Linked DNA regions of Oreochromis niloticus. The protein of the gene in region 3 interacts with the protein of the main gene of each other region in a pairwise test. Links are inferred from orthologs where the notes say so. Each region holds a gene or a part of one and is shown on either strand. Other genes may lie near its edges.

The links. The genes of interacting proteins can lie anywhere in the genome.
Region 1: the proteins of trim59 (region 3) and vti1b interact in binary tests that used the Homo sapiens proteins (3 or more experiments, as listed by UniProt). The two-hybrid records come from large-scale screens. The link is inferred for Oreochromis niloticus from reciprocal best matches to the Homo sapiens genes TRIM59 and VTI1B.
Region 2: the proteins of trim59 (region 3) and zdhhc22 interact in binary tests that used the Homo sapiens proteins (3 or more experiments, as listed by UniProt). The link is inferred for Oreochromis niloticus from reciprocal best matches to the Homo sapiens genes TRIM59 and ZDHHC22.

Annotation. Positions count from the first base shown.
Region 1 is NC_031983.2:21,977,722-21,985,404, forward strand, and holds the start of vti1b (vesicle transport through interaction with t-SNAREs homolog 1B), read right to left. Parts: upstream 3,024-7,683; 5' UTR 2,867-3,023; coding exon 2,770-2,866; intron 2,672-2,769; coding exon 2,613-2,671; intron 1,683-2,612; coding exon 1,488-1,682; intron 915-1,487; coding exon 741-914; intron 141-740; coding exon 79-140; intron 1-78. Other genes in the region: rdh12 (retinol dehydrogenase 12), read left to right, coding at 5,440-5,516, 6,098-6,216. UniProt on the Homo sapiens protein: V-SNARE that mediates vesicle transport pathways through interactions with t-SNAREs on the target membrane. These interactions are proposed to mediate aspects of the specificity of vesicle trafficking and to promote fusion of the lipid bilayers.
Region 2 is NC_031983.2:10,874,054-10,881,564, reverse strand, and holds the start of zdhhc22 (palmitoyltransferase ZDHHC22), read right to left. Parts: upstream 3,024-7,511; 5' UTR 2,874-3,023; intron 966-2,873; 5' UTR 964-965; coding exon 408-963; intron 1-407. UniProt on the Homo sapiens protein: Palmitoyltransferase that could catalyze the addition of palmitate onto various protein substrates and be involved in a variety of cellular processes. Catalyzes the palmitoylation of KCNMA1, regulating localization of KCNMA1 to the plasma membrane.
Region 3 is NC_031979.2:23,923,491-23,931,379, reverse strand, and holds the start of trim59 (tripartite motif-containing protein 59), read right to left. Parts: upstream 3,086-7,889; 5' UTR 2,746-3,085; intron 1,727-2,745; exon of another isoform or gene 1,490-1,726; intron 112-1,489; 5' UTR 61-111; coding exon 1-60. Other genes in the region: kpna4 (importin subunit alpha-3), read right to left, coding at 5,466-5,561, 6,470-6,564, 6,657-6,819, 7,026-7,097, 7,185-7,289, 7,880-7,889. UniProt on the Homo sapiens protein: E3 ubiquitin ligase involved in different processes such as development and immune response. Serves as a negative regulator for innate immune signaling pathways by suppressing RLR-induced activation of IRF3/7 and NF-kappa-B via interaction with adapter ECSIT.

The DNA of each region.
Region 1 (7,683 bases), on a different chromosome or scaffold from region 3:
CACACAAAATATATTTAATTTGCATTAAAAAAACGAAGGAACTACTGTGGTGTAAGACGTCTTGTAGGGTGCACTTACCGCCTCGACATTGCACGAAGAATTTTTCTACTACGACTCAGATTCTCTCCAGTATTCGCAAGCTACAAAAACAACAAGACAGAAGAGTTTCAACAAACCTACTAATCTCAGATCATATCGTCATCCTACAGTACTGTGCCAAAGTCTTGAGCAACTATTCATTTCTTTATAGTTTGGTAGGAAAATAGGAAATATATGCAACGATTTATTGAAATGTGCAAACATGCATGAAAATACAGCACATAAGGTAAAAACAGAGTTTTTATTTAAAATGCTAATGAGCTTGAAAGTTAATATTTAAAGTTTTAGTTAGGTTAAAATTTTTAAGGACTGCACAGGATAGAGAGATATGTCAGGCTGACAGCTAGTAGCTTTTTGGAAATCACATTTTTAGTCCAAAAAATAGTATTTTATGCCTGTTGAACTGTGTTATATTTGGCATTTTTCATATATTTGACTAAAAAATTTGAAACTAATAATGTGTTTTTGTGATAAGTTGTCTGTCACGTGTAGACACATCAATACTGGTTCATCATTTGATTTAGGTGCCTTTTTAAGCTTAAACGATTCATAGGTCAGTGACATATAGACATCACAGGTGGCTAAAGACTTTTGCACAGCACAGTACAAGAATACAAGCGTAATAATGATTCTCAGCTCACTCTGTTTCTGGTTCGATCCAGCTGTTCCCTCTGTTCTCCCAACTCCTCGATGATATCTGTGCCAATTTGCTCTGTCTCAGCAGCGATGCGCTGGCTGCGTTCAATACTCTGGCTGGCGTTATTTAGAGCATCCGTACCCTGAAGAAGCAACGCTCTCTGGGACTGCAGGTGCGTCTACAAAGATGGGGAAAAGCGACAAATGAAACCAAGTTTAAGCAGATTTATTCTGGAAATACACTTACATAGACATTTTGCTGTCATGACAACTTCTACAATTCCAATGCATGGCTTTAATAAGATCCACAAGGATCACTAGGAACCAGGGTTGACATTTTTCTCTTACATTTTATTTAATTTAAACAGTTCTTGCTTTTAATTTGTCATTATTTTCTAACTGCAGTATGAATGTTGTTATCCTCTGTCAAATAATACAGTCTGGATCTGTAAGTGCTGCTCAAAAATAAGCCCTTATAAGTTGAGAGGATTTTGTGTCAAACTGATGAAGATGTTTTCTTGATTTGTGCGTCTCCTATTTGTATTTTTTTCTTATGTTACAGCACACTGATATTCCTCAGCAAAAAGAGGAAGAAAAAAAATACACACCCAGAAAAAGTCTTACCCTACACATGCAGCCTGACATAACAGCAACATCATAAAATAATGTTTTGTGCATCCAAACAGACTAGGGACAGGGCCTGTCACACATCTGCAACAGCAAACCCAAGCATCCCAAAGCCCCTCACTCACACTGTGCTGATTTTGTGAAGAGTAGATGCCATGATTTCCTTGCACTGTGTTGTACGAGGAGCCAAAGCCAGGTGCTGAGTTTTTCATGTCCCTCTGAAGCTTGCCGAGGTCTCGCCGGTACATACGCAGTTTTGTGCTCATTGAATTTCGATAGGACAGAGGGGCAACGCGCAGCTCCTCTTCCATTCCTTGTAACTGGAGAAAGACAAGAAAATGTTATTGTTTGAGAAAAAGACAAAAAAGGATCTTACTCCATAGAAACAAGGATATATTATTAATGTATTCACTAGTTTAGGCTTAACCTCCGTAAATCAGAACATTTCAGTGCCGTTTGAATTAATGTACAGTTAAAAATCTATTAAAATAGGGCATACTTACCATACTACAGAGAGCTGTTAACTAAATTTATTGAGAGCTTCTTTTATTTTGGTTTTATTCTTATAAACTTGATGGCTAACATATTAGAAACATCCCTCAGATTTTGATAATATAGGTAATAAGGTCGCTTTGGTGAGAGTGACACATTCAATCTAGTCAAAAAAGCTTGGAGAAAACCCCCCCAAAAATGTATAAGCAAATATCCAACCCTGGTGCTAGCACAAGACTCAATCATGTCACTGCATCTTTGTCATGTCACTCACTGTCTCGTTCTTTTCCAGGTTAAACAGGTGTTGGTAACAGGTTTGCACATATGTTGTAGGACACAATTTGGAGTGCATAATTCTTAAATAACTATTTAAAATATGTTGATGTTAAACAATGGAATAACAGTTATAAAAGATTTGTGTCAACAAAATGAAAAAAAAAAAAAGTTGTTTTTTTTTCTCTTTAAACTTCACTGTTTTACTTGAAATGCATTGTGGTTACCAAAAAGACTGGGCAAGAGAAAAATGCCTTTTTTGGGGTAAAATGTACACTAGGTTTCCATTTTGTATTGAACAAGTGTTATTTGCACAACAAATGCATGTATTATTTTGATAATTCACTATTTCTCTGGTGGTAAATTTCTTAAAAAGTTAATTTCAACCTCAATTTAAGAAAAAAAGTGTATTTACATGCAAAAGACATAGCTAGTAGTCAAGTGAACTTTAGCTAGCTGTAATGGGAAAAAGATAAACAGCTCACCACTTCTTCAGCCTCCCCATGTCTCTCATCAAAGGTCCTCACCAGCCTCTTCCTCTCCTCTGCAGGAGTGACAGTACAAGTGTTACTTAAAAGCACATAACTTATATTCCAAGGCGTAGTTATTTTGCTAATCTCGGCTTTATGAGCAAGTATTTACCTCCGTGAGATTTCTGAGCCTTGTCTGGCATCAGCTTCAGCTCCTCGTACAACGATCGGTACATTTCGTGCAACTTCTCGAATTCCTCCGACGACATTTTGCGTGTCGTTTAAATTCCTTTCTTGTGATATTATTTTTGTCTTTTATTGTAAAATACAACACTGTTTATGATCACAAGTTTAAGTATGTAGTTTTGCTAGGACTATAATCAGATCCTCGGGATTCTTCCGGATGGTTTTCGACCGACCGTCGTAACTCCGGAACAAAAATCAAACGTACTAAAATGTAATTATTTTTACTAGATATGAAATTGAAAAAATATTTTACAAACACAATTGTGTAGGAATTTAAAACAAAATAGTGAAATGTTGTGGAAAGCGTGTTTTAAAATCACCTGGATAATTATTTAACAATTATTTCATTCAGGCGCTACAGAGACAACGTTAATGGGGCTTTCTGGGAAATGTAGTTTTTAAACCGGGCTACTTGGGAAATGTTTGTTTATTCGGTTATTGAAACTACATGGATTCAGAGTTCCCCTCGTTGAAGATGGAGGAATATCCACATAGTAAGTGTCTATAACGAATTTTAAAGTACAGATCTATTTTGAATGTATAAATAGCCTGTCTAAATGGGTGATTAATCATGTATTAATGTTTCAGAGAGCAGGGGGAGAGTATTATTTCATGTTTTTTGTTTTGTTTTGTGTTGTTTTTACCTAAGACATCAAAACATCACTGTCAAAATAATTACAATGTATCTTATTGAAAGTTAAAATGGCACATTAAGGACCTGTTGGGACTTATTATATATATTCTTGTATAACAAATACAACTGTTTAACACTGCCCTCACTACTATGTCATAAAAACATCCTCATAAAGGTTTACAAGATGGTAGAGACACCTGCTATGGTGTATGGTTTGGACACAGTCCTGCGAGGTCTGTGAGGCAGGAGGAAACAAGAAAGACCAAAGAACAGGTTCATGCAGAGGGCAGGTGTGACAGAAGAGGAACAGGGGATAGGGTGAGATGGTGGCAGATGATCCACTCTGGTGACCCTTAAAGGGAGGAGCAGACCGAAAAATAAGATTTCCTTTATATTTATCAATATTAATTGAATATTAACAAACACTTAGAGCATAAAACTTGCTTGTTTTATTCTGTAAGTGTTAGGCACACACTAACAAGTCTGTGTTAGGCACGGTGGTAGAAGACTTTGCATGAGTGGGACAAGTGTTTCCCACATTTGCTGAAATGGCAACCTAGGTGCCTTTACAGTCTTATAACCCCACCAACCCCTGTGTTGATTTGCGTTTTAATCTCAGTTAGGTAAGAATAACACTAAACACTTCTAGTGCTATCTCACATAGCCAGTTTAGAATCACTAGTTAACCTGACATCCAGGTCTTTAGGAGGAGGCCAGGATACCTTTAAAACACAAAGTTTAAAGTTCCTGGGTGTGCACATAGACACAGACTCCCAATGGAGCTCAAACACTTCGGCGGTTGTAAAGAAGGCCCAACAGTGTCTCCATTTTCTAAGAATCCTCAGAAAATTGGACCTGAAGAGGGAACTGCTGATTGTCTTCTACTGTTGCTCCATTGAAAGTGTGCTGACATACTGTATCTCTGTATGGTTCTCCAACTGCACCATGGCACACAAAAAGGCACTTCAGAGGGTCATTAATGTCTCCCAAAAAATCACTGGACATCCTCTTCAGGCTGCTGAAGTCATGGACAAAACGGACTCAAGAACAGCTTTTACAACAGGGCAATAGCCCTAAGCAATGCTACCAGCTGACCAAATTTGCTACCTCGCTGGACTTTTTTTTTTTTTTTCCTGGGGGGGGGCAGCAATAACAACAACAACAACAATAATAATAACAATGATAATGTGCAATAAACATTCACTCATTCTTTTATTTATTTATTAAGTTATTCATTTTTTTTGCTCATACCTTTCTTCCACTTTTAAAAAACTCCACTTTAAGTTACTGTGTTGTGTTATTACAATGCATCATTGTTTTGCATTTTATTTGAAGGTCCCCTTTAAAGTCCAGCACCACAAAGAGGTAATTACACAAAGATGCCATCTACAGTTGCATAAAACCGCAATTTTCCTTGAGCTGACCCAGAGTGGTGAATCTAAAATCGATTTGAATAGATGTGGGTAAAATTTGACCCAGAGCAGCCTCAATTTTTCTGTATTTTAGCAAATTTCATTAAGCTTCCAGCTTAAAAAATGACCTATAGGGGATTTTTACTGCTGTTAAATGGCTAAAATATAATTCAACTGACTTTCTGTGTGTGCTTAAGACGGGGCAGATGAATTACATTTACCAAAAAATTTGAAACATTTGAAACAAGTGACTCTGTCTTTGTCTTTTTGTTGTTAATAATTTCTTAACTAAATTTGGTTAATTTCTTTTTTATGACATTTCACTTTAAAACCACTGCGCCCAGCTGCAAACTCGGTGTACCCTGTTACGTAACGTCTCCAGTAGCCGTCTTGTCACGCATCGAACTACAATCCCATGATCCTGTGCATGGTTCAACCTTCACCCCATCCGTTTGCAGCTCGCACCCCCATTCCTGCTTTGACATCAGCTGTTCCGCCTACACTTCGGTAGCATCCTGCTGGAAGAGGCAGAGGAGCGCAGATCCATAGCATGATGTTCCTTTTATTAATTATCGCGGGCCTCGGAGTGGTGACGCTGCTGGTGATTTTATTTGCACCACAAATAAGGTAAGCGCCCACTTCACGCGCTCAGTCATTAGAATTTAAACGCAGAGTTTAACACTGGATGTCAGGGCAGGTTATTACTTGGTTAACAAGACATTTAGGTGGTGTGTTGTAGTTATTACGATGAGGATCAGTTTGATTAATGAAGCCACATGATCGTTATTTGTGAATGCTTTACGTTAATGGTGATTTCACATGAGGCTGCTGATCAATGAAATAGAAAAATTGAGCTGTGGGAGGGTGTTTTTTTTTCTTGCACAGATGAACCGGGTGTCTTCCGTCTGAGCTGCTCGGGCCTATCAGCAGCCGGAGCGTGGGAGGAGTTATATATGCATGCAACACTCCAAGAGAGCTATTGGTTATGTGGCGGCACTGCTCACTGGCGTGTGTTTCGCACCACTTGCACACTTCACTATCCAAGTTTTTGTGTGAATAATTAACCCGGTTTCACCACAATGCCAGCTTTAACGGGGGCATAGCATGTAGAGACTGCAGAAGGAGCTCCTAGTCATTTAAATGGAGCTGTCTGCTGCATTTGATGATGCAGAATTTGTGTAGTATAAATCAGTCTTGTTTGTGTGCAGAAAATATGCAGCAGGAGGAGTGTGCAAGTCCACAACTCGTCTTGATGGGAAGACGGTCCTCATCACTGGAGCCAACACAGGAATTGGGAAGGAGACTGCCCTGGATCTGGCAATGCGAGGTGCCTCTTTAAATCCATAACCTGCTACTGAGAGAAATCAGCAGTCTCTTAAAGCAATAAGACTGAAATCAGCGTCCTTGTCCCATTTAAAATATACATAATAAAATGGACCATGGTGTGACACAATTAGCTGTTGTGGTCTCAAGGAAATCCTCGCTTTAAATGTAGTCACATAAATACTTGACTTGTTGTATGATTATAATATGGTCAATATGCCATCAGTCTGGGTTTGGAAAAGGTATAAAGTTTTATTTTGGTTTCGTTAAGAAAAAAACAATTCAATCCTATGAGTGGGTCATGACCTCCAACCGTAGCTTCAACCCTAACTTCATGTATTAGGTGCGAGTGAAAGGGATTGATGCATGTCGATTAGAATGATTCGTTTTTTTCTCACCTCATTCCAAATACTCAGGGGAATAAGCTTTACAAAATGTTAAAGAAATACATAAAAAACATTTACATATTCTGAAAGCACAGGATTAGGACTAGGTTTGTCGCTGATGATGACTCACAGTGCCATTAAAATCTTAATAATTTGAGATAGAAGGCAACTGCATTTCTTTAAAGTTTGTGAAGAGGCTTCTTTAGTTCTGAACTGAACAATCATTTTTTTTCACACTGGGTCAGGTCAGTTTAAATTGCTTTTTTCCCCCCTTAATAAATTATATAATAATTTAAAAGCTTTTTTGATGATATTTAAGCGTGACAAATATGCAAAAAAATCTACGGAATCAGGAAGGGGAAAATACTTTTTCCATGGCACTTTATGTTAGAGTGGATTGTTAAATGTTGTCATTTTTATGCTTACCATCTCTACATTGTTTTAACTCTGTGATGAAAGGATTCTTCTGTCCTTCCCCCAGATTCTCGAGGTTCTGAGTGGGGGGCTGTAGTCTTTTATTACAGGCAACATCCTTGTGAAGGTCTTTTTGATGTTTGGTAAAACTTCTTGCCCTTTGTATGGTTTCACTTTGTTATCTATGGTAAACAATACATTGGGTGTGGGGGAGACTACCCTCTTTATGACCAAGGATGTTGCTCCTGCTTTTATGACCCTCTTTGGTCAGGAGGAGGACACACACACACACACACACACACACACGCACACACATTCTTATTTACATACAGAAGTTCACACATATACATACAATGCCTTGTCTTAGAACCATGTGGGCGTTGCTTTGCTGGGATGTGTTTTGTGTGAACTGTTTCTCAATAAAAGGCAGCGAGAGGAGGCCATCGTCGGGGTCATTTTTGTGGTGGACACAGACGAGGCCTCCCTCGTCTGTGTAATCGATCGATCGTTGACTGTCTTGTTTTCTTCATGATGAATAAGTCTCTAGAACTAGCAGGGCTTGTGGAAGCACAGACCCAACACTTTATACCTTACAGCATTAAGTTACTCTTTAATGCTTTTTAGTGGATGACATTGTAACAAGTTTAAATCTTTCAACAGTCTCAAATATT
Region 2 (7,511 bases), on a different chromosome or scaffold from region 3:
TAGAATGGTGGATGGTTGTGGTGAAGAAAAGAGTATTAAATGAGGTCAGTGTATATATAAGTAATACCTGTTAGCCTGAAGCTCAGGCAGACTGACCTAAATGCTTAGTTTAAGACCATTTTGATCTCAGTGAAAGCGAATATCATTAGTGTGACCACTTCAGCCACACAGCTTTGCAAAAGCCCTGCCGACGTGCTGTTTTAACCTTCTGTTTGCAAATGGCATCCAATCAGGAGAAAGTTAGCCGAACGTGAATGAACTGAGAGGCTGCACAAAGATCCATTTTGATATAAATACAGATTATTTTAAGCTGTGAATCTTACAAACTTTAGCAGACTCCATCAATAAAAATATTGAATTGGTAATTGGTGCCCCCTCTGAGATATCAGCTTGAATGGAAAACTCACCCATGAAGAAGTAACCAGTGGAGAACGGGAGAAGAGTCAAAAAGGTCAGGGGGTTCTCAAAAGAGATCGAGTACTCCACTGTTAGAAAGGCCACGCCAAGAACCAAAGAGTATAAACATGTGCAGGATGTGTAGATGCAGAACATGATGAAGTAGCGCATGTTTTTGTTGCCGATGCAGTTTCCAGTGAAGAAACAGTGGTGGTCCCTCTTAAGGATAACCTTCTTGCAAAGTTTGCAAAAGTGACGGCCGTTCAGGAGGTAGTGCGCGTCCACTTTATCCGAGCAGTGTGGTGAGCACACTGGAATCACAGTCTCGTTGGCACTCTCAGCTGGGTATTTAATAGTCATTATGTAATTCCCTAACGCATTGAACATCAAGAAAAGGAAAATAACTGTATGTAAAACTTTGGACCCCTCCAGTGATGTACCCTGACTTGGGAAAATTGTTGGTATGAAGAAGCCAAAGTGCAAAATGAAGGTGACTGCTGTAGCGGTGAAAAAGTACGCAGGTGCTACAGCGTTGAGAAGTCTCAGTTTTAACATCCGGGTGAACATATCTGTGTGGGAGCAAAGAACACAGTTAGCAGAAGAAGTGCAAGTAACTGTGAAAGTAACTGCACAGAAGTTTCTGGTCAGTTTGAAATGTTCTTATTTCTGAAAGCAAAACACGTTTTGTTTTTATCTAATATAACAAGAACAATGACCCAAAATGGCATGTTAAAAATCATGCTGATTTAAGAAGCAACACGTTTGACGTGTTCAGTTTGCCGGTAGTCACAAAGCCAACCTTCCTACTCAGTTTATTCATCTGATGGTGTCCCCAGTTCCCCCAGCAAACCACAGAGAAGTATACCATGCTCATCATCAGGATAGACACAAGTGGTGCAGCCGTCCTCTGAGGCCGATCACCATTTCTCGGGTCTTACTCACATTTGAAAGCAGATGATTCTTCCAAGACCACCTCCATCACTGATACATCCAACCACTGAAGAATCATCAGAGTATTTCTGTAGGTGGTTTTTTGTATTCTATAGGTGCATATACACAGTTGTAGTTCACTCATCATGGGCATCATACTCCCTTTACAAACCTCCCCACGCTGGCTCGTATGGGTGTAATTTAATGAAGATGCTGGCTCAGGATTAGTCTGACATCTGCTTTTTAAGGTAAAGGTCCTGATGTTTGCACAGTTTTGTAGAGGGAGGAGTACTTCCTGTTTTATAAAATCTGTTCTCGCTCTCTCTCTCTATTTTTATTTCTTTTTTTATTTACTGCATGGATTAACTTTATTCCTTAAAGCAAGTACAACATAATGATTTTCCAGTCCTTTTTTTAAATTTAGAGACTATAATCAGACTGAGACAGCCAATCCAGGCACTTATTTAGCCGCACTTAATGCTTCTCCAATCAGCACACTATTTTCAGTTGTGCTGACATAATTGGAAAATGGTTTTTCTAATGACTAATCAGGCTTTTAATATAACAAACTTGCATTAGGAAACACAAGGTGCCATCAGACACACACTTGCTGAAAATAGGTCTCTGTATACAAACACAGATATTCATGATGAATCACTCTCAACACATTTTTTACCGATTTTATGTTAGATGCAAACACAAACGTGCAGCCCAAATATTCCCCAAAACAGAAGAAACTATGGTACAGTTTTAGGAAATAGACAAAACAAATTCTCAGCTTATGAGGATTGCTAAGTACCTAAAGAATTGGCAGTGCTATTTGCAATTTAAGGGGCATCAATAGTCTTAATCCAGCAGTAAAGTCATTTACTTGTAGGGCGATTATTACATTAAGATACTTGAATTAAATAGTAGCAAATTGGAGGGAATGACCCTTCCAAGGACACAGTTTGGTCTGAGGAGAGATCAGGTAGTTCTTCCTTTCCGTTGTGTTCAAGTGCTTGCTCACAGGGGATAATTGTTTAGTTCTATGTCTACTGCTGAAGGCTCTTTACCTGACAATATGAAACCCTGAAATAAATAACACTGAATTAAAACCATTTAAAAAGAGCACAGTGCAGAAATGTGAATAGAAGAGAGAATGTAAGCCTGCTGCTTAGAGTTAAAAACTAATTTCTGAGCAAAGTGGGGGTGGGGGACTCCCAGGGGCCACTGAGAATAGCAGTAATGTCTTATCCCTCCTCTGTCATCGCATAACCTGCAGCTCTGAAGGATGTGCAAATCACAAGATAGCAAACGACGAAAAGGAAAGAGGGCGGTCTCGCAGACCAAATTTAAAAGTTGGTCTTTACGTCCCTCATTAGAGGGCATCGACACTGTGGATGCTACAGAAAACAGAAAGCATTTATAATATAACTGTAAGGTAGTCTCCTTCGTGTTCTGTTTTCTTTCAGAATTACATTATATCGTTTCCAGCATGATAATGATTGCGCCAGTAATGTTATTTTCCCATAATTTCATCTCCATGGCGCGACGCATCTGCCTACCTGCAGATGTCAGAGAGCGGAGGAGCTGTCCTTTCAGCACTACGGAGCCTCGGAGCTCAGGAGCTTCTTCAAACGCACACAAGAAGGTGTCTTTGAGAGGCACTGACGTCGTTTTTACATCACCACATTAACTCCTTTGTCTACCGCCGCCTGCTGGTCCGGATGCGTCCGTGTGCCTCTTTTTCTTCACTTTTCCCTGCTAACAAAACAAAAAAGAAATTTAAACAAAGCAAAACAAGTATTATTATTTTCACATAGTTATTTCATCATATTTACTTCCACATTCATCTATTCAATAAGTATATATTTATATAATATTACATTTTATAAGATTAATTATCCTTCACTTCCTTTCCATGTGAACAGCTATTATTATTATAGCATGTGAACAGTCTGCAGTGTTTAGGGTCAATGCAGGAAAGAAAGAATTCAGTAGGTGGCAATGTATCCTCAGTTATCTGACCTCCCATGCTGTTAGCGCAGAGGTACATAAGCTAATTTTAGCAGTTACAATAAAACAAGCTTTACTCACAGGATGTAACATGCTCAGTGCATTTTCTTTCTTTTGTTAACATGACTTACTCTCACAAACACTCCATAGGAGTCATAAAGGTATCAATTTTCAACATCTAACAATATAACAGGAAATTATAACTCCATTGGTAAGTCTGCATGTTTACCCATCACCCAGTGGACCACTATCAGTCAGGTATTGGCCTCCCCCTGTTAAAAACAAATATTCTTTTTATTATTTTTCTTTATTTAAAGTACAATTAACTTGAGCACTAATACATTTTGCATCATATCTGTTACCAGGTTAAGTTTTGAGATAGATCCTCAGTATCCTTAGAGTAATGTCTCTAAAGAACTTTCACTTCATTACTTTAGTCTAGAGACCTCTCCTTTAAGGTAACATAGGATTATTGTTAATATTAAATCCTGTTTCATTGATATTGAGATTTCTTTTTCAAAAGACACCTGTCTGTAAAAACATATACAACAATATAAACAGGAGATATTATATGTGTTCATAAAGTAATAAAAGCATGTGCAATAGGGAGCACAGGTAAATAAATATAACCTTTTTAAAATTTTCCTGTGAAATATTATATTGTAGCTTTAAAATCTTTTGTACCTCATTCCTTCATAGGAAGCAAAGTATTTACAAATAATTTTTCCAATCTCATTGTGAACAAGAGGCAAAGCCAACAGTGAAATCGCCTGTGACCACACACTGTAGGTAGTGCATTAAAATATAAGAAGGGACCAAAGGTAATTGGACATCTTTTAAAGTTCAGCCACACTGTTGATCTCTTCTAAATGCGAAGGAGGATGGAAATATGAAAACGTTTCAGGGTGGAGGAGGAAACATGCGTATAAACAGTATCAGATATGGGACTTTTTTTAACAAAAAGTTGGGAATTTCCTTTGTTACAGTAAATAAAAATGAAATAAGTAGAACAACATATACCTTCAATAATGTGAAATGCAAAGCAATTATCTTAGTAGGTTAAAAATAATCAGAAATTAAACTAAACATAATACGCAACATATAATATAATATAATATAATATAATATATATTAAAACATAAAAAATAAAATATCTTCAAAAATATCATCACAAAGAAATATAAAACAATTTAAACAGTCTACTAAATGGTGTGTGGTGGGGCAACGACCATCTGACAGATGAATAGTGACTGAGGAGTTGTACCCACAAAACAATGCTGTATGTAAAAGTTGTTTTGTATCTACACTTGTGATATATTCTTAAGTTTTTGTAGATTTTTTATAAAGAATACAAAATACAGAAATAATGATAAATGTATATTTAAAAAAAACAAAGTAGCTTTAATTTAATAATGCGTGCATTTGGTATTCAAAGTTAACATTAAAAATATATATAGTTAATTTAACCACCTAAATCGACCTAGCTAACTTTAAGGTGGATGTCTGGTCAAATATATCTTTATGTTACTTCGAATAAAACGAATAAAATTTTGTTGGCATCACCATTGCTTGATGGTCCCTTAACGCCTCCAAAGCAGGTGTTTAATTGTTAGACGGCCCCTGCGAAGGTGGGAGTTTCTCTTGTTTCTTGGCGTTAAAGAAAAATCAGCAGCATCTCTATCACCGCCAGACCTCAGCGATAAGGGAGTTTTGCAAGGTGAGTGAGGTAAATATTAAAGCCGTGCGTGCCTGTAGTGATACAAAATGCAAACCGGAAGGCTTTACTGCGCTATTAGTGGCGCAATCGTTTTCATCAAGTTACGGAGCTGAGGGAAGGTGGGTGTGCAGGCTGCTGTAGTGCTGCAGTAAGCGGGGGAACCGAGAGTCGATAAAAATGTCTGATTACGGAGAGCAATACCTTTTCCTTTATTTATAAAGATCTTAAAGTTCACGGTACAGTGTGGTGGTGGTGGTGGTGGTGGTGTGGCTGGTGAGGACGAGCCTGTCTCTGGCAACGTGTCAGACTACTACACCCAAACCAGGTGCATCATTTCTCCTCTCTGTCACACCTATTGTTCCCGATTGTTCCTCGTGGACTCAGCTGCGTGGCAAACCTTGTGTGAGCATCGTTATGTGTAACTTGGGGAGCCCGTTTTTAATAAAATAAGAAGCCTCTGAGGCTTCCATTCATGCTGCCACCCTCTGTCTGTGTAGCCTGATGTTGTTCAGTCTGGACTCTGTTGGAATCGCACAGGAAAAAATGATACCGGTCAACTTCTTGTGACTTGTTGATTCGATGCTTATCCGGCTGCATATGATGTGGGTTTTAACACAAGGGTTACCCTGTAAAATAAATGTGATTCTTGAGGTACACTGAGGTTTTACGGTAAGTAAAGCTAGCCTTTTCGGTGCCTTTTCTGACTGTTTTTTCTGTTTTCGGAAATTGGGCAGAGTACTAAACTGACATCTGGTAACATTTCCACCCGACTGTGCTGAAAGGACGTGGCCTTAAAAATGCCAGATTTGCTATGGACTTTTGACATTTTAGTGGAATACAATATGTCAAACCATAATGAGAGCCTGGGAGGAAAATAAATTTAGGATGGTGATATTCAGATTTTAGCCAAGATGTATAGCGTAATCTTACAGGACTCAATATATGCACATCTCATCACGTTTGATAACACCAGATAAATGATAGTAATGATGGCAATTAGTGTTGTTTATTCGTTGATTAGAGAGGAGTCCTATCCTGTTTCCAGGCTCCCAATTATGCGTGTTCTATAAATAGAGGTATTGCGCTTTCAGAGAGATCTCAGAAATCTCAAGGAGGGTCGGAATTAGTGTCACAGGTTGGAGTAAACAAAGCCTTGTGGGTGTGAAAAGGTCGTGTTTGAAAATCAAAGACTTCAGAATCACTGCAGATGCTTTAAATGAAGGGGAGAAACTATATGTTTTTACCTCAATGTTTTAGACAAACATATAGCGGGTGTTTGTGTGATCTAATTCATACCTAGATGACAAGAACATTGACTAAATTTGCAGCTGATCAACTGCTTCAGTATAAAACATGTATATATTTCATAGTTTCTTACCAAAGTGCTGTAAATTAGTTGCAGGGTTTGATCCTGTTCCTTTAAAATTTGATCCATACAAGTGCACAGTAAGTGTCACATAGACATTAATATTTCAAAAGGCTCTAAGCTGAGATTGAACAAGGGCTTTTAGTAGTGATATGGATATGGTGCACTTGTGTAGCACTGAGCAGGTGCAAAGGGATGGACAATATTGAGAGGTATGTTAGAGCAAGTCTTAAACCACATTAAGCCTCGTGTTCATTTTCTCCAAATACTTTGTGTTTGGTTGTTTCCTTGTGTTTGTTTCAGCACCACGAGCAGGAGGACAGCTCCAGCTGAGCAAGCAGATGAGATGAGATTCTTTGCAGTTTTGAGTTTAGACAGAAGTGAAAAGCATAACATAATCTGTGAAGATTAATACCATGCATGCAATAATTTGCACAGGTTTTAAATATTGCAAATGTTAAAGGTACCAAAATCAGGTGGAGTAAATAGAAGACAAATTATCTGATAACTCTTGGTGTGCTACACCAAAACCAAACACTGTGTTTTCAAAGACCTGGTTAATGTATTTCACATCTCATGGCCCCTACAGGATTAACTGTATCCTATCACATTATTGTGATGTTATTGTAGGGTCTTTACCTTATAATGTAAAGCACCTTGAGGCAGTTTTTAATTTTATGATTTGGTGCTTTATAAATAAAGTTGAATTGAATGGGCTATCTATTATTTAAGCAGTCAATATAAAGCCATGGTTAAAAAAGAAACAAACAACAACAGCAACAAAGAAGTAGATCCTTATGTATGTCAGGTCATAATAAAAAGAGATGACTGTGTTGACTAATGTGACTGTGTTACTAATACAGTAATGAATGGGAGTTACATGCGTATTTGAGTCAGGGTTCAGAGAGAAATAGCTCACATTGCTGAGAGATTTCACACATTTCTGTGTAGCACAGAACACGGGTCATCCAGTGGACCGTCCCTCTTTCCGTTCTGGTAGTAATGCTGATGATGGTGGTAGTCATGCAGGTTCTCACAGTGAGAAATGCAGTCATGAATGTCTTGTGTGCACCAGACATTCATGACTGCACCACATATTTTATG
Region 3 (7,889 bases):
TGGGTCAGAGAACAGACAGTAGCACACGGAGCACGTCAGGTCCTCCTCTAGGTTGTCCATGACAGAGACTTGCGCTCAGGTGGGGAGGTGAGGGTTTGGGGAGAGGAAAATCTGGCAGGACAAAAATCCAGTTGTTGCACATGTTTAGAGAAATAAATGAAGTGTTAGTGAATATGGGGCTTAATTTAGACTTAAGCTGAAAGCTATTGTGAGGATCGAGTTATTAACCTACAAGGCCCGGTGTGAAAAACCTAATAACTGGTTGGGCCTCCTTTACCAGCGAGAACTGCAAACAAACGTTTGTGATAATATCAGGTGTGGAGGAATTTCTGCCCGCTTATCTTTGCAGAATTGTTGTAATTCAGCAACATTGGAGGGTTTTCGAGAATGAACCGTTTGAAAATCGCATTCAGGTCAGGACTTTGACTGGGACACTTCAAAGTCCTTATTTTGACTTTCTTTAGCCATTCAGAGGTGAAATTGCTGGTGTGTTTTGGATCATTGTCCTGCTGCAGAACCCAAGTGCACTTCAGCTTGAGGTCACAAACAGATGTTGTTAATGTTGTTCTGGGGATTTTTGTGCTCTGGGTTCTCTTGTGAACTCTTGGATGAGTCGTTGATGTGGTCTTGGAGTAATTTTGGTAGGCTAGTCACTCCTGGGAAGCTTCACTGCTGTTCCAGGTTTGTGGATAATGGCTCTCGTTGTGGATTGCTGGAGTCCCAAAGTCCTAGAAATGGCTTTGTAACCTTTGACTCTAGACTGATATATGTCAATGACTTTGTATTCCAGGTGTTTCTTTAGATCTTGGCATGTGTTGCTTTTTGAGATCTTTTAGTCTGCTTCACTTTGTCACACAGGTTCTATTTAAGGGATTTCTTGATTCAACAAGTCTGCCAGTAATCAAGTCTCAGTGTGTTTAGTGAAACTAAATATAGCTTTCCAAACTATGTGGTTAATCACAGTAATCCATGATTTAACAAGAGAGGCAATTAGGTTTTCACACAGGACCAGGCAGGTTTGGATAACTTTTCCTCCCTTAATCAATGAAATCATTATTTTAAAACTGCATTTTGTGTTTAACTTTATTATATTTGTCTAATATTAAAATGTGTTTGATGATCTTAAACATGCAAGTGTGACAAATATGCTCATCTCTAATCCTGTGCCTCCTAATGAAAATCTGAGGATATTCAGCTCTGCCACCTCCAACTGCTGTCTTTTTAATCACTGCCACTGTCTCCAAACCATCACAGCAGGTCTTACTACAATCTCATAAATCTTTCCTTTCATTCTCGTTGCTATGATATCACAAAATCACCCACACACTCATCTCCACCTCTTTTGTACACTGTCCGTTACTTTAGATGGTTGACTACATGTATGCAAACTCATCCACCTTCACGGTTACACCTGTCTGGCTCTCATTCATACGCATGTTCTGTCTTGCATTCTTCTTTCCAGAGAACACCTCCGCCGAGGATGTCTTACCTGCTCCATGCTCCCACTATAGATCACAATGTTGTCTGCAAAAGTCAGTCCACAAAGATCTGTCAGCCTGACCATCACCACTGTAAACAAGAAGGGGCTCAGAGCGGATCCTGGACACAATCCCGCCTCCACTTTAAAGCCATCTGCAACTCCTACCACACACCTCACATACTTCTATGCCACTCCTGATGCTCTCATACAGTCCCATAGATCTTCTCTTAGCACCCACAAGAATACCTATGAAAACACTCGAGTTAGGGACAGTTCCTCTATTGGTGGGTCTAAAGGCAACCAACCAAAACCTTTACCTGAGGATCTCAGAGAATGTATTTTCACATCACTGAGAAGGGATACTTGCAGTGTCACTATAGAGTGTTACAGGTTAGTAAAACAGTCCTAACTACAGTCTTAGTGCTAAATAATTTATTTACATTAAAAGAAAAGAAAAGTTGAACATTGTGTGTTAGATTGCCTCAGATTACCTGATAAAACTGGCTCTGGGTGTGTAATTACTACTTATCATATAAACACGTTTAAATCTAACCAATGTGAGAAAGAGCTGATCATTCACTGAAAAACAAGAGAACAGCCAAAACAGGCTCAGCTCTTATTACCGGATCGGTTATATTATAGTGTTTGTGCGCTCTCTCCTCTTGTTACAGCCAGGACCGCAGCGACAATAGGAGGCCCTCTGCCAGCACCCACCCAGTCCAACACACACACACACACACACACACAGTTGTGTGAGGACACGCTGTTCATCTGTCCCTCACAAAACCTGATCCATAAACGGAGTCTGAGGCCAATTTGGCGCCCAGATTCAAACAGGTGACCGATGTCCAGCTGCCCGCGGAGAATCGACATCAAGCCAAATGTGGTCTCCTCCACGTATGGAAGTGTACATCCAAAAGCGTTACTATAAAACCCATCTACACCGAGGTGTAAAGTAGCGGCAGGGACTCCTACAGTTCAGTTTTCACTCATGTGTCATATATTACATTCTTAATGTGTGTGGAAAAAGTAGTAACACGTTAAAAACAGTGTACATTATTAAAATATGCTCTTTAATGTTTTTAACTGTGCTAGCCACACAGCTGTTGCGGTCAGTACTTTAATAGCAACTAATTTTCATCATATGCCGATTCTAGATTTGGCGTAAAAAAAGAAAAACAAACACCAACTTTAACAACTTGAGCACCACTTTTCGTGTAGAAATCTGTTTAAAAGAAACGAAACAAAAACAAGCCCAAACTCACCGTCAGCTGGGGGAAAGCGTCTGTCCAACAACAGAGCTTTCACTTCCTGTCAGCTCATACGCGTGCTGTGTTCACGTGCACTCCGCAAATCCTGTTAGCGATGAAAGAAAGAAAACGGGAAAAGGTGCTAGACTTCTAGAGCGCATGCTCGTATGGTAAAGAGTGCGAGTTAAAAAAATAATAATAATAATTATAAGCGGTAGCTATTTCTTTTCGCAATTATGCATTTTTTGAAACCCCCTTTCATGGTCATCCATTTTTCCGATAGCACCCAGAGGCGCCGCTATTTCCGTATCACGCACGAGCAGAAGCTGCCTCTCTGGCCAATCAGGACTCGATTTTCCGCCAATTTGAAAAATTGTAACCGTTAGGAGAAGCGAAGACATTATCAGGGACACACAACAGATCACACACACAAACAGTCTCTCGATTTGGGTTTCACTATTTATTTTCTCGAAGACAACCTATCCTGTATCCTATCTCCCCGAAAAATGACTTTGCTTGGGGGGGGGGGGGGGGAACCACCTCATTCATTTATTTATTTTTTCTTTCCAGGTCGTAATTTTAAATTTGAAACCACGTTTGCTAACAAGGAATGCTGCAAAAGAATACCCCTATGTTCAAACAGAAAGCTTATTTATGAGCACAATGTGTAATCATTACTACAGTGTTTGAAGTTAACACAAAAAAATGAAAGGGGTAAGCTTGTACATCTAGCTGGCAGAAAGACAAAAGGGGAGTAATGGGGCTAAAGGACTCAGGTACTAAAGTTACAGCAAACTTGTTCATGGGTTTATATATTATTCAGGAAACCCCACATACTCCAGTCTGATGTGTGGGACACCCTCTGACCTTGAGAAAAAAAAAGCGGGGGAGGTTAAACCACCTCCTGAAATAAACTCATTTTCTCACTAAAAAGCATCCTTGGATTACTCTCGAAAGACAACAGATTGTGGTTGAGTGAGTGATGCATATTGAGATTTTGCTGGCAGGTCAAAACCTATAAAAACCCACCAGCACACCTTCAGAAAGACGTCAGGCCTCACTTTGCAGTACATGTGCAAAAACCATATAGATTATTTAGCAAATCAGACACTAGTGAGGGAAAAGGGGAAGGGGAGACATGTAACATTTAAGCACAGTTTTACTTAAAATGAAAATTACACTGTATCCACAGCCTAAGGAAACTAAAATACCCTAAAAAATAACTGTGCTATAGTTTAGTACATGCAAAGGTTATGATTCACAATCCTACGTGAAATGGCCATTGTTCTCTTCTCCCTTGGTGACAATCAAAGCTATGGCAACAGTACTGCAAAGCAGTGATTTTGCTGTAAATTGAAGGGAAAAAGGGGGGTGGGAGAAAAAATAAAGGAGTTACAAGGAGGAACAGGTCATTTGGTTGATTATAAAGTGAAGGTGTCAACAATTTCACAGCATCAAGCCCATATGTGGTGTGCAGGTTAGGGATGTGGTGTGAGGATGGAGTACGATGGTCATCAATCACCTTTACAGAAGCGATATGAAACTAAAAGCTGGAAAACAAAGTCATAAAAAAAGGAAAAAAGAAAGAAAAAAAAAAATACACTGGAGGCAAAAAGAAAAAGCCCAAAAGCCACCAAATGCATCTTAATACAATGCACTGCTGCTCCACACCTGCCAATAACATTGTCCAGTGTCAATTAATACTAACTTAATAAATCAAAAACAAAATCCTGGTGATGACGATGATTTTCTCATATCCACAGTTCCTTCTTTCAGGGATTTCGCAGATCAGCCTCTCAAAGGCAGAATTTCTTCCTGAAACCTTTGCGAACCTCATTGTTGCAATTTTTTCTCTTCAGATGTTTTTGTATCTTTTTTTGTTGTTGTTGGTTGTTTTTTCATTTTTCCTCATCTCTGCATGCGTTCTCACCCAGTCTCGCACACTCCCAGTTCACGCACGCAGCCAAGCACACACGACTCATCCGTCCACTCTCTCGCAACATGCGAACACGCGCAGCCGGACTCCTGGCCCCGCCCACCAGGGGGAGAGGACTGCGCCCCGCGTGGGGGGGCGTCTCGTTGGAGGAGATGAACCTGGCTCCTCAGCGCTGAGTCCAGACATTCGTACACAATGGGTCCATTCACACACATGTCTGATAGCGTGGCCGATTGGGGGAGGGGCACATTGAGGCTGGCGCCCTCTCTAGTCGGAGGACCGCAGAATTGTGATGGTTCGTTGTTCATCTCAGTTCATAATCATAGTTATAATCATTTCTGCATTTTGCTGTATTGTAATATTTCAAGATCACTTGATTTTCTTATTATTTTTTAATGTCCTTGGTTCTCCCTGGGCAGACAGAGTTTCTTATTTTCGTTTTTCTTGTCATTTGAAGTAGTTTTCCGAGGACGACAGCTCCAATAACACAGAAGTTATGTCGGCATGTCTCTCAACGCATTCGATGTAGATGTTTTGCTTTTTTTTGCAACATGTAGCCACTCATTCTCACTCGCACCCACTCGCCATCTCAAACTTCATTTGGGCTGGTTCCCCTGGAATGCCAAATGAAATCCACATATTTTTCTCTCAGATAAGATGCAGCCATGGATCCCACGAGCCAAGCACAATGGATCAAATTTCTCACACTCGCTCTCTCTCGCCCTTTCTCTCCTAATTTTTTATATGTTGAACAGAGTGCTGCATCGTGAACAAAACTCCAGAATACCCCAGATGCCGTCTAGAACTGGAATCCCTCGGCTGGCACGTTGGCTGAGTTGAAGCCGTAAGTTCCGCCCTGGATGGCCTCTGGGACCAGGCTGGTGTCTTCATCGATCTGAAAGACAGACGAGTAAAAGGAGCATTAACACTGTGCGGAAGACAAGGCGTTAGGTCAAGACGACAGCCAGCCACTGTTCCTGAGCCAGGGACCATCAGCAGCTTTCTAAAGAAAGTGGGTCTACGTAGCTCTACTTATTGAAGTTAACTTTGTGAATTCTGGTATGTGATTCTGGGTTTCTGGAGGTGGGCTGTCTTGCCAACTTGCTCCTCAGGGATAATAAAGTTTATCTACATCCTAAATAGAAGAACTGTCAATACAAACAATCACTTTGGCACATCCCCTTGGATTAACCACCTTGCTTTGTGGTACGACAGCACCATGGTAACGACCTAAAGCTGACAGTGATTCGGACCTCTGGCTCGGATCAAATTAGCAGTTTGGACAGCCACTCTGGGCAGGATCCATTTTCAGACTTACACTATTGCCGTTTCTCAATATGCGTACTTGTGCGTACTTGCGTTCTCGTGTACTCGTGATACGTCATCAGTCGGAGACCAAGTACTGTTCCAATTCAAAGTACGCATCAAACCGAGAACGCGAAAAAGTCCCGGATGTGTTCTCGCTCCGCCCGTTTTATCGAGCATGCATCGGTGGTGACTTGTGTGGACTTGGTACAGCTAAATATCCCAGAATGCATTTCGTCCGAAACTCAGACAAAGGCCGTTTCTCAATTCTCAAGTACGTGAGTACGTACTCACGTACTTGAGAATTGAGAAACGGCAAATGATTTGTGGTGCAAAAAACTGAAAATGGCCAAACTGGAGCCTCCTATGTGGCAACTCAGAGCTAACCTGTTCATCTTCCAAACTTTGGTTCATTTGATCAATGTGAAGACTTTTTTTAAAATCACTTGAAAGCCTAAATAATAATAATTAAAAAAGCAGATATCCTAAGTAACTTACATCATCAGATGAGAAGAACTGATCAATAATTTCGTATGCCAATTTGTAGATATCTTCATTTTCATGATTCTGCAGTTGCTCCACCTTTTCCAGACCTGCGAAACAAAAAATAATTACACATTAACACCTGGTGTCACAAGTTAAGACCAGCAATTGTGATAAATGTGATGGTAAAGGTGACACTGACCTCCGCATTCCTCAATGAGGTTAGCAATAGTTTCTGCCTCGTCATCAGCCATTTTTAGGATATTGCTGAGGCCATCGAGAACAACCTGCACAACCTGAGCGTCCTTCACTGTGAGCAGGTTGCAGAATGGAGGAATCACCTGCTTCTCAATCAGGTGTGCCACCTGGAGACGACACAGAGATGCACTATCAACCACTCACCGCGTTAAAAAAGGAAGAGCATTGTACTCATCAATAAAAATGAGTAAGCTTAAACTTATTCTTAAAGCAGCAAATATTATGACGTCATTTCAGTTCTATGTTTACAGATGTTCAACACCAACGACTTCACATTTCTTGTACATTTTTCACGTGTTTGGGAGAGGCTTACCTGATCTTTCCTCCCGCTTATTGTCAGGTTACTGATGGCCCAGGCTGCTTCTTTCTGCGTGCCAAAGTCACCCTAAAACATACATTCAATGTAAGCAACCCATCCATCACCCAGAAGCTCTCTGAAATTAAACAGGATCGACTTAAGATGGATACAAACCTTATCGAGCAGGTGAATGATCATGGGAACCAGCTTGGCGTCAATGACGGCCTGCACCTGTTGCTGGTTACCTGCTGTGATGTTGGACAGGAACCACACTGCCTCCTACAGGACAAAAGCATAAACACAAGAGTTAGTGATGATTTTCTCTCATGAGTATGATGTGCTGTGTCACAGATTCAGTCTATGTTTGATCACAAAGCAAGTGGGAGCTGGATCAGAACCCAGGGGTCGAAACAGAGTTTTGACCCCCGGCTGAGACAGAGTGCAGTGGGTGGGGAGAGGGTGACTTTGAGGCTATAATCATCGACCAGTCACAAAAAGGAGGCCTCTTTTTTTAGGTGACTGGTCTCAGATGCACTCCGATATCAGCAGAGACGCTTGGTCTTCAGCACCCTTTCTCCACCAACCCATGTATCACACACACGTACACACTACTACCCCTTATCCCCACCCCCAAACCCCTAATCTATGCTACTAATTGAAGGTATAAAGTTGCTGGCGTCCTCTTCGGTTCTTCGTCTTTGTGATTCTGCACCTTTTAAATTCCTGCTCTCAGCTATCTGCCCCATCTATTTCCTTTCACGCAGCACTCACTTGCACAACGTCTCTGTTTTCATCACTTCCAGATGACTGACAAAGCAGCTTGAGCTCATCAGTTTGTGTGTTTCTTACAAACAGTCGGAGAACGTTACCTTGTTGATT